2 linked regions of the Arabidopsis thaliana genome follow. The protein of the gene in region 2 interacts with the protein of the main gene of each other region in a pairwise test. Each region holds a gene or a part of one and is shown on either strand. Other genes may lie near its edges. The genes, in order: AT3G14710 and ATMRK1.

Region 1 (4,200 bases), about 18 Mb from region 2:
GCCAATCAGACGAGTCGATTACCTTTTGAAATTGTGCTCAACAGTGCTCGCCTAAAATCTTAGAATCTCTTGAAATTTTGAAACAGAGCACCAATAGAAAAATCGATAACAACATTGGAGATTCCCCAAAATCATCGCTTCAGAACGCCCTACGGTTTGACTCGCTAAACCCCCACCCTCCGGAACCCTAATTTCAGAGAACAAATCGAGAGATCAACGGCGAGATTCGCGACAAGGTTCTGACAGCGTTTAAGTTCGGACTGAACGACAACGCTGTTAAGTGTTCGACTGTTGGTTTTTACTTTTTACTCTTTCCGTTTATCTAAACGACGTCGGGTGGTCCTGCGCTTGAGGTGAAAATTCAATTTATTGGCTTTGGGCTTGAGGTGAATTCAATTTTATTGGTTTGTGAAAACATGTTTAGATATGACCATGTTTTCAAAAACCAAAAAAACTAGACAAAAACATCTCCCAGACTATTGCAATTTTTGACATAAAACTAGTCTTTTCTCAAGTTTTATTTGGAAAAAAAAAAAACTACTTTAATCCATCGGATCTAAAGTTTCTGATTCCAAATCCGGATAGTTTTTCTGGTTGGGCCTTTTGTAACTGGAGAGCTACATGTAAAGTTTAATAGCCTTCCCATTTGAGAGAATTATAGTATTAAAATTATTATGTTTTTGTTAAAAAAACTACTTTCATATTTTCCTCTAAATATAATGCACGGTATATACCCTGACGTGGATTTCGGCTTTTATTTAGTTTCGGCTCGTGCGGTGCAAGGAAATTCTTCTAGTCATCATCAGCCACCAAAACTGGCTTCTCAATTAGGGCTCTTGGTCAATCCTTAAAAGTTCTATTGATTTTCATCGACTACACTTTTTTGGCGAATTTATGTGATTGAAGTGGAATCTAAGATTGAGGTTCTTTGTGGTCTTCGGTTCTCGATACATCATCATAAGGTATTGAAAGTTAATTTTCTTATTCTTGTTAGGATTTCTAACTAAGATAGGTCAAAATATAACCTAGATCTCTCGTATCTCTATCTATATATACGTCACAAGGTATTGAGAATTCACTCATAGCTTCTGAATTTCGCGGTGTCGTGTTTCTGTCTCATCATCGGGGTTTTGATAAAGATGTCTCAGTCCAAAGTAGCTATGAAAAAAGATTCGATGAGGAAGAATAAGAAATTGGTTATAAATATTGCTCTAGATAAAGAAGTTCTTGCTTCGAGAGTGGAAGCTGATCATGATCTTGGTTCTGTAAGAGATGAGAAAGAGAGGCTTGAATCATCAGAGAGACGAAGAGAGGTTTGTTCCAAAGCTGAAGATATTGTTGATAAGGCCATTGATAATCATTCTAGGGTTAGAGGAGATGGGATTATGCGGGAAGCTGATGTCGGGACAGGGTTATCGGGCGCGTTAAACCGTCTTAGAGAGCAAGGAACTTTCAAGGAGGAAGGCAAGGTTGTTGGTGTTAAGGACAATAATCATGAAGATGACAGATTCAAAGATAGATTTAAGGATATACAGATTCAGAGGGTGAACAAGTGGGGAAGGATAATGACTGAGAAAGAAGCGTATCGGTCACTGTGTCATGGATTCCATGGGAAGGGACCTGGGAAGAAGAAGCAAGAGAAACAGAGGAAGAAGCATGAAGATAAGTCAAAACAGATGGAATCTTCAGAGAGATCTGTGGAAAGAATAAGAGAAATTCATGCCATATCCAAGACTCCTTACATTGTTCTCTAGTCATAAACTTCTCTTTGATTACGATAATCTCAAAGACATTTAATTAAGAACTTCATAAATTTGGTATTTTGCTTTGATATTCTTAAGAGTTCTTGGATGTTTTTACATCACATAAAACATTGCTTTTCACCTATATATGTTACCATTTATTTTGGTATAATCTAACGTTTTTGCATTCTTCTTTGGAATTATATTTTGGTTTTATTAGGGAAACGATTTTCAATGCATCCCGAGACAGAGCAAGCCTGTTTAGTTCCATCTTCCAAGAAGACTAAGCTATGCAGTGAGAACTTTGAAGACAAATTCAGCAGCTTGCTTGAGAGTGTTGTTAGCATAATTCTTAGTCAACTTCCAACTGCTGAAGCTGTTAGTACTTCTGTGTTATCAAAGTCATGGAAGAACATTTGGACAAACATCACAGATTTACATTTTGATGATACAAAGCAGAGGGATCCGAGTGATTCTCGATTTACTGACTTCGTTGAGCGTGTGGTTGGCGACATTGGAAGTCCGCACATTAGCAGTTTCTATCTATGCTCTGTTAATACTTTCGATGAGACTCTTCTCTTCTCGTGGTTATCAAAGGTACTAAAGCGCAATCTTCAGAGACTTGTTGTCACTTGCAACGATCTAGAGATCATCAGTTTTTCTTCACTTTTTCCTAGTTTTGTTTCGCTTGTGGAGTTAAGGCTCCGTACAAAAAGCATTCTTGACATTTCGGCTCCCGCTATTCTCCCGAACCTTAAGTTCCTTAGTCTCGAGGATGCTAGAATCTTCAACATGTCTTCTGTCTCAAAGAACCTCGTTCTGAACTTTCCTGTCTTGGAAACTTTTGAAGCCTCTTATTGCCGCTGCTTTAGAACCGATACTGTGATCATAGACTCTCCATTGCTTAGGATCTTTGAGATGTTCAAGTGTACATCTGAACACGTACCTAATCCTTCTCAAGTGTGTAAGATCAGGGTGTTAGCTTCAAAGCTTGAGAAAATCACATTCTGTGGAGACGAACCCCGAAAAATCCATCTGTCTTTTCCACCGTCTTTACCTGATGCTTATCTTGCCCTCAGCAGATCCGAGTGGCCCAAGACGTTTCTACGTAGCTTCACATGCGTGACGAGTTTGGCTCTCGTGGTTAGATAAAAATTACATTACATCTTCCTCTTAACTTTTCAAAGCTTTTAATGGCTCAAGTCACTCACAACTCTTTATCTCAATGCCCTTTCTTAGCTTAGCAAGGATTTTCATGTGATGGCAGTACCCAAATTCAGCCAGTTGGTATACCTGCATTTGATATACGACATGACACAACATTTTAGATTAATGCAGTTCCTTAAATCCGCACCAATACTCGAGATGCTCAGCATCCGCGTAAGTCTTAACTATATCGAATGTTGTGACAGTACCAATATCTTTTCTCTTTGGCTGATCTTGCCCTTTTCCGGTGAAACAACCAGGACCTGACATCTCCTCGTTCAACACCTACTGCAAAGTCCTTGAAGGAACTACGTTCAGTAGAATCTCCGGATTGCGTTACAACAATGCTCAAAGTCCTGCAGATCAGGAACTTTAAGCCAAACAGGCTACAGATATCAGTGTTGAGGTACGTGTTGGACAATGCTGAGATTCTTGGATCAGTCATCCTTTCCTCGCCCAATCCAATCACAGAAGAAGAGAAAGCAAGAATCTTGGCTTTTCCTAAAGCCTCTCCCCATGCCTCTGTCTTGTTCGAATGACCAAAAGTTGACCTTTTGCAATTCTCAGTTCCTTGTGGGTTACGGCAAAGTTATTATCTTTGTTTCGATCATCACTGAAACTTTGATATTAAAACTCTATGTGGATTCTCTGATTCAAAGAAAAGAATATGCCTTTTGGACAAGTTTTAAAGACAGAAACAAGTGTTGTTGATGTGCCCTTAACCACATGCAACTTCTTCTGCCACTCCCACTTGGACCACTTCTATGCATTATATTATGATTTGTTTATATGATGCAGCATCCTCTATTGTCTTCTTTTATCACCTAGTTTATTGCATTATTTTTTGTATAGTAATATAATTATTTAGACTAAATCTTATGATAAGAAATGGTCCTCTGTTTTTCTGGTTTTAAAGATTGAAAAAGAAGTTTTGGAGTTATGTGTAAAAGATACTTTTATTTTAGTTGATGTAATAGGTGACACAAACTTATTAGCGTAATAATTTTGATAGTGATGTGTTTTAAATATTGAACTATAAATTAGGTTCGTTGATTTTAGAAGGCCACCAAACAAAACAAGAAAAAGTTCTGCTTGGCAGAGATATTTCGGCTCTTATAATTTACACCACTTTAGAATAAATCCAAAATCAAAGAAAAGTTATGTTTCATGTGGTCGATTTTGTCATCTCTACTGTCTTGATTGTTTTAAACGGTAAAAATAGTAAGTGAAAACAAATAGAAAAACCGTAATT
Region 2 (5,254 bases):
GAGTAGATATTACCACACAATGGAGCAACATGAACACTAGAAAGGGGTTTAGGGTTCACAAGTTTACAGCTTTAAATATTGTCAATAACAACAGTTGAATCAGTAATCTTCTAAATCTGCTTGAAACGTCCAAGGAGCAACCAACCATTGATGGAAATGAGAATGCTTTACTTCATCCACCTTTAGAGTACCCATGGCATTTACTCAATCAATCAAAGTAAACCTAAAAATCCTAGGGTTTATTCACACCCAAAATAAGAAAAGCACAAGGCCTTGTCCCGCAGCTGGACGTTGGATTCAGATTTCACTGACAACAGAAGAAAAGGATTTACTGCTTACGGTGTGAATGAGGTGAGGAGAGGTGACAAGGCATTTGGCGCTCCAGAGAGGATCGTTGAGATCTGCTCCATGTCTCTCGAACTCCGTTGCAAGCCCTCCGTCTATTACCGCATAGCCGCCTGTCTGCTTCAGGAAATCTTTCATCGAGTTAAAAGAGTTTCCGGTCATCTTGTATGTCGCCTCGGACCGATCACCCAACAACTCCCACTGAAGCGTGTACTGTGTGAAACATACGATAAACACAAAAAACTGTAGAGAGAAACACTCAAAATCTTTAGTACTAATTTTGTTTACAAATTGTAGGTTTAGACCTTTATCTTGAATACTAATAACAGTATCGGCCCAATCCTTTTCTATGTTTCCTTCAGACCCCTCTTGTAAGTAAGTTTTAACTCTCTGTTTTTTTCTTATCAGATTTTGATGATCAATTTGCATGTGTGCGTCGTGTATATATGAAATTCGAATCAACATCAAAAAATAAAATAAAGCTTAATCGAATTATACACGACTGTGTTAAGTATATAAATACATAGAGCGCAGAAAGATTCTTATGACAAAACCCACACCAATCCAACTCCCATAGCTCAAAGTAAATACAAAATCCAAAGAATCACGCAGCTCTCAAGAATATATCAGACACGGAGCAAAAAGGAAAGAGAGGGAGAGAGATTCAGGGGCCTCGAGGTTTGAAGAAACAGAGGCACCCCTGAAACTGGTCCGGAGCTATCATTCCACCACCTTTGCTTGTGTCTATGGCTTCAAGCAGCTTCACCACCTCCTCCATCTCCGGACGCCTGTCTGGATTCGGGTCCCAGCATCTCTTCATGATGTTTGCCACCGCATGCGGGCAGCATTTCGGAATCTCTGGTCTCAGATTCTGAGCAAGATGCACCAAACAGTGACTTCATTAGATTTCCTGATTAGCTTTAACATAGGAGAGATTGTATGTATAGACAGAGAGAGAGAGAGGAACCCTATGAACAACGGCGTGAGAGATCTCAGCAAAACTACAGTCAGCATAGGGCATGTCACAGCAGTATATTTCCCAGAGGCATACCCCAAAGCTATAGACATCGCATTTCCTGTTGTAAGGCTTTCCTTCAAGAACCTATGCAACAAAAGCTAACATTCTCATCTTTCCTATTACGAAACACAAGGATTTTGACTCTACAGGAACAACATTACATACCTCTGGTGCCATGTATCCAAGTGTTCCAGTTTCACCCGTCATGTCTTGAGGGTTCTGAGCTTCAACTCTAGCTACCCCGAAATCAGCGATCTTCAGCGTCTTGTTAGGCTGTAACAGCATGTTCTCTGACTTCACGTCCCTATGTACAATCGCCTTGGAGTGGAGGTAACTAAGCCTGAGACAAAGAAAAAAGGTAGGAAGAGTTTTGTTGATAAAGGAAGCATCTTTGTCTGAATAGTTTCAGAAATGAATGGCAAATCAGGAAACATAAAGTAAAGGAGAGATTACCCTCTAGCGAGATCCAAAGCGAGCTGAATGACATCCTTGATGGGTAGTTTGGCCCTATATTTCTTGATGAGGAACTTCTTAAGCGTGCCTCCGGCAACATATTCAACCACAACACAACAGGCCCTCGCAGGATGTGCACCGTTACCACGTCCGCCAGTATCACCAGCAGGAGGGATCCGCAGATCAGAGGTTCCCATGGATGCTCCTATAAACTGCCACAGAGAGAGAGAGGTCAAATGAATAAGTCCTTTGATCAAAAGGTTCTTCTTCTACCTTAATCGGTGAATGTAAAAAGAATACCTTGGTAACGTTGGGATGATCGAGCTTCTGCCAGACGGCGACCTCTTGCTCGAAGGAAGCACGGAGAGCTGTAGTTTCAGCTGGTGTGGCGTAACCATCTTCTCCCCAATCTAACACTTTCACTGCAGCAAACCATAACATCCATCAGACGGGAGATCCCCAAAAAAGACCACCAGTGTCTATCCTAATGAATCATATATATCTTAGTCTAGGAGAAAAGACGGACCTGCGACTTCTTGGCCGGCGTAGACACCGCGGTAGACAGTGCCGTAAGTACCGTGAGCGAGGACGTGCTTCATATCGAGTTTGGAGAGGTCAATCTCCCATTCCTGCATCGCCGGTGCGGGAGCGCTCGTGGAAGCGGAATTGGTGAGGACGCTGCTAGTAGAGGTTTGACCCATATGCAAATCCCATTTACTGAAATCCAGTGTATCTGCCCTGAAGTATCGTTCTTCTCCGGCGCTCCTGCTCCCAGTACCGCCTATTTTGGGATCCGCGGTCCCGGACCCGATTTCAAGTGATTTATCCGCCTCTCCGCCGCCAGAGGCCATTGATTTCTCTCTCCGGCCTTACTCTTTTGGAGAGCCACCAGCCACTAATACAACAATACTCTTCGATTCAAAACCACCCAGATGATCAATCGAAAATCAAGCAGTTCAATCAGTGAGTTGAGGGGACAAAGCTAGGTTTTTTTTTTTTATGTGGTGGAGAGAGAAAGAACAAGAAAAAATTGGTGGAGAGACAAAAGACAAGAGAGTTGAGAAAGAAGAAGAAGAACAAGTTAGTAGAAATCGATCGAAGGTGGTGGTGGTGGTCTCCACAAAAAAAAATACTCTTTTTCTTTTATAGTTTGACAAGTAGAGAAGGATCGGCGGTGCAGTGGGAGAGAGACCAAGTCTTAATGTCTTTTTGACAGTTTCACCGGCCAAAGAGTCGTTTTGTTGCCCTTTTCCAGTTTTTATTATAAAAAACTCTCTCTTGCAAAAACAGAGCTCGTCTGTCTTTGCTTCTTCTCGGTCTAGTGGCAGCCCTTCCGTCGCCGTTTATTCGTTTCCCCCAAATTTCTTGTAAATTTACATTCGACTTTAATAATATTTGTACATCGAGAAATGAATAACCTTTTTGGTTTGTGACGCAATCTATCGAAACCAAAAGGTCCACTGTAATAATCTCTCTTTAAGATGACTACTGTATTTAATTGTGTAATTCATAATAAAGAAATAAATCAGATTACGTAATTTGTTATAGACTATAGTTTATAGTTTGTCATGTGAATTTGTTGGGAATCTTCGTCCGTCGTTACTTGTGAGCACAAAGAACCAAAACCGAGACGCATCCACCAGAGCATATTCCTTTCCGTAGAATCACAAACTTTTCAACGCAGAGAGCGAATATAATGGAACCCAACAACTCAATACTAAAAGAAAACACCAATTATTATTAAAAAAATAACATTTACATTGCCAAAACAAACAGTTCCGTTGGGGATATAGTCCACTCCTCTCAAAAGATTAGTAGTTCACAAAGTATGGTAATCACACTTAAGGATGAATCTATTTTTGTAGGTCCAACTGGCATGATGTTAATCTGGTGTTGATACCTGAAGAAAAGTTTCATAACATTGCTTTTGTCCGATATGTCTCGGGCTACCACTAAACTGATGCTGAATGGTCTAACGGGCTTAGTACGGCCTTAGAGAAGAGATGAAGATGTCCAATTCCCAAGGTTAAGATCCTCACCTAAGCAAATGCTCAGTCAGACATCCTCTGAGCTCACTACCAAGCGGCTCGGTCTGCTTGCAGTACCGGTCTGCATAACCGGAGTCGTGATGACCAGACAAAGGAACATCTTCTTGAAGATAATCCCCACAGTCGATAATGATGTTATGCAACAAACAACACACCAGTATTATACTAGGTAGCTTCCTCCTGTCTGGTCTCCACATAACTTTGCTCAGAATCCTCCAGCTTCCTTTAAGCTGTTGAAAGGCAGTAGCTGCGACTGACCTCACCTTCTCATGCCTTTCGTTGAACGCCACCATGGAATCAGAGGGATGATCGCTGTCGTGAGGAGTTATAAGCCAGGGAAGAAGCGGGTAACTGATCCCTCCAACAACGTATTCTCTAATCTGGGCTCCTTGGGATAGAGTTTTAGGATTGCCGTCTAAAATCTGAGCGTTTTCACAGAGTTTGAAGAAGCCAGAGAACTTGAGAAGCTTGGAGACGGTCATGCCGCCAGGCCAGCCGGTAACCATGTTGAGAAATCTCATCTCGTGATCAAAGACTCCTTGTAAGAACATGCTGTAGTTCTTCTCCTGGTCACACCAGTCATCTGATGCTTGCACAGCCGGGAGAGTCATGATGATGTGCGTAGTGTCAATGGCTCCGCAGCAATTGGGGAGACCGTACATCTCCTCGAACTTTGACTTGATCTCTTCAATTCGGTCAGAATCTGGCCATCTAAGATGATGCTTGGCACGTTCTTCGAGTGCCTCGATGAATCTCCATGTAACCTGGGGAAACAAATGGATGGTGTCAGGATACAGCATATATATATTGAAATCAGGGAAATAGGGAGCTGAGTAGAGGTTGATTGGTACCTGAGAAACAGTGGACTGGCCAACACCAAAGGCAGCACCAACGGAGACCTGAGAATCACCGGAAGCTAACCTTCGAAGAGCAATGGCGACTTGTTTCTCAACACTAAGAAGCCTTCCCTCGATGTTGATGAGACCAGAGGGAGGTCTAGAGATAAGGTCCTCCCTGACGAGCGAGCAAATGTAGCTAAAAGTTGTCTTAGAAGCCCTAAAGAAGTGCTTGAACGCATAGTCTTCGTCTGAGGGGACTGAAAACAACAACAATCTCTCGGTTCAATTCAAAGAACCCTAGAGGAGCTACAAAAGCATGGAATCAAAAGGATGGAACAATCTAGTCAAGCAATAGCAAAACGACATTGACTAGTGGTAACTGATGGGGGAGAAGAGGAATTAAACTGAAATCAGGCTGAAAAGCGGGGAAGGAGAGAGAGGAGAACCTGAGGGAGAAGAGTTTCGGAGCCAGAAAGTATCCCACCAGTCGCAGTCGATAGCCTCCGGATCCAATGGCACTGCGTTGACTCTCTTCTTCTCTTTATTCTTCG

The links.
Region 1: the proteins of ATMRK1 (region 2) and AT3G14710 interact in a protein complementation assay, tested with the Arabidopsis thaliana proteins (one large-scale study listed by BioGRID).

Annotation. Positions count from the first base shown.
Region 1 is NC_003074.8:4,939,569-4,943,768, forward strand, and holds AT3G14710 (RNI-like superfamily protein), read left to right. Parts: upstream 1-1,912; 5' UTR 1,913-1,976; coding exon 1,977-2,885; intron 2,886-2,981; coding exon 2,982-3,122; intron 3,123-3,208; coding exon 3,209-3,487; 3' UTR 3,488-3,496; downstream 3,497-4,200. Other genes in the region: AT3G14700 (SART-1 family), read left to right, coding at 1,140-1,754.
Region 2 is NC_003074.8:23,372,081-23,377,334, forward strand, and holds ATMRK1 (Protein kinase superfamily protein), read right to left. Parts: upstream 3,326-5,254; 5' UTR 2,668-3,325; coding exon 2,343-2,667; intron 2,239-2,342; coding exon 2,117-2,238; intron 2,029-2,116; coding exon 1,817-2,028; intron 1,704-1,816; coding exon 1,529-1,703; intron 1,466-1,528; coding exon of another isoform or gene 1,448-1,465; coding exon 1,313-1,447; coding exon of another isoform or gene 1,247-1,312; exon of another isoform or gene 1,217-1,246; coding exon 1,010-1,216; 3' UTR 801-1,009; downstream 1-800. Other genes in the region: HMT2 (homocysteine methyltransferase 2), read right to left, coding at 340-507; AT3G63255 (uncharacterized protein), read left to right, coding at 1,092-1,206, 1,293-1,465; AT3G63270 (nuclease), read right to left, coding at 3,852-4,628, 4,716-4,960, 5,150-5,254.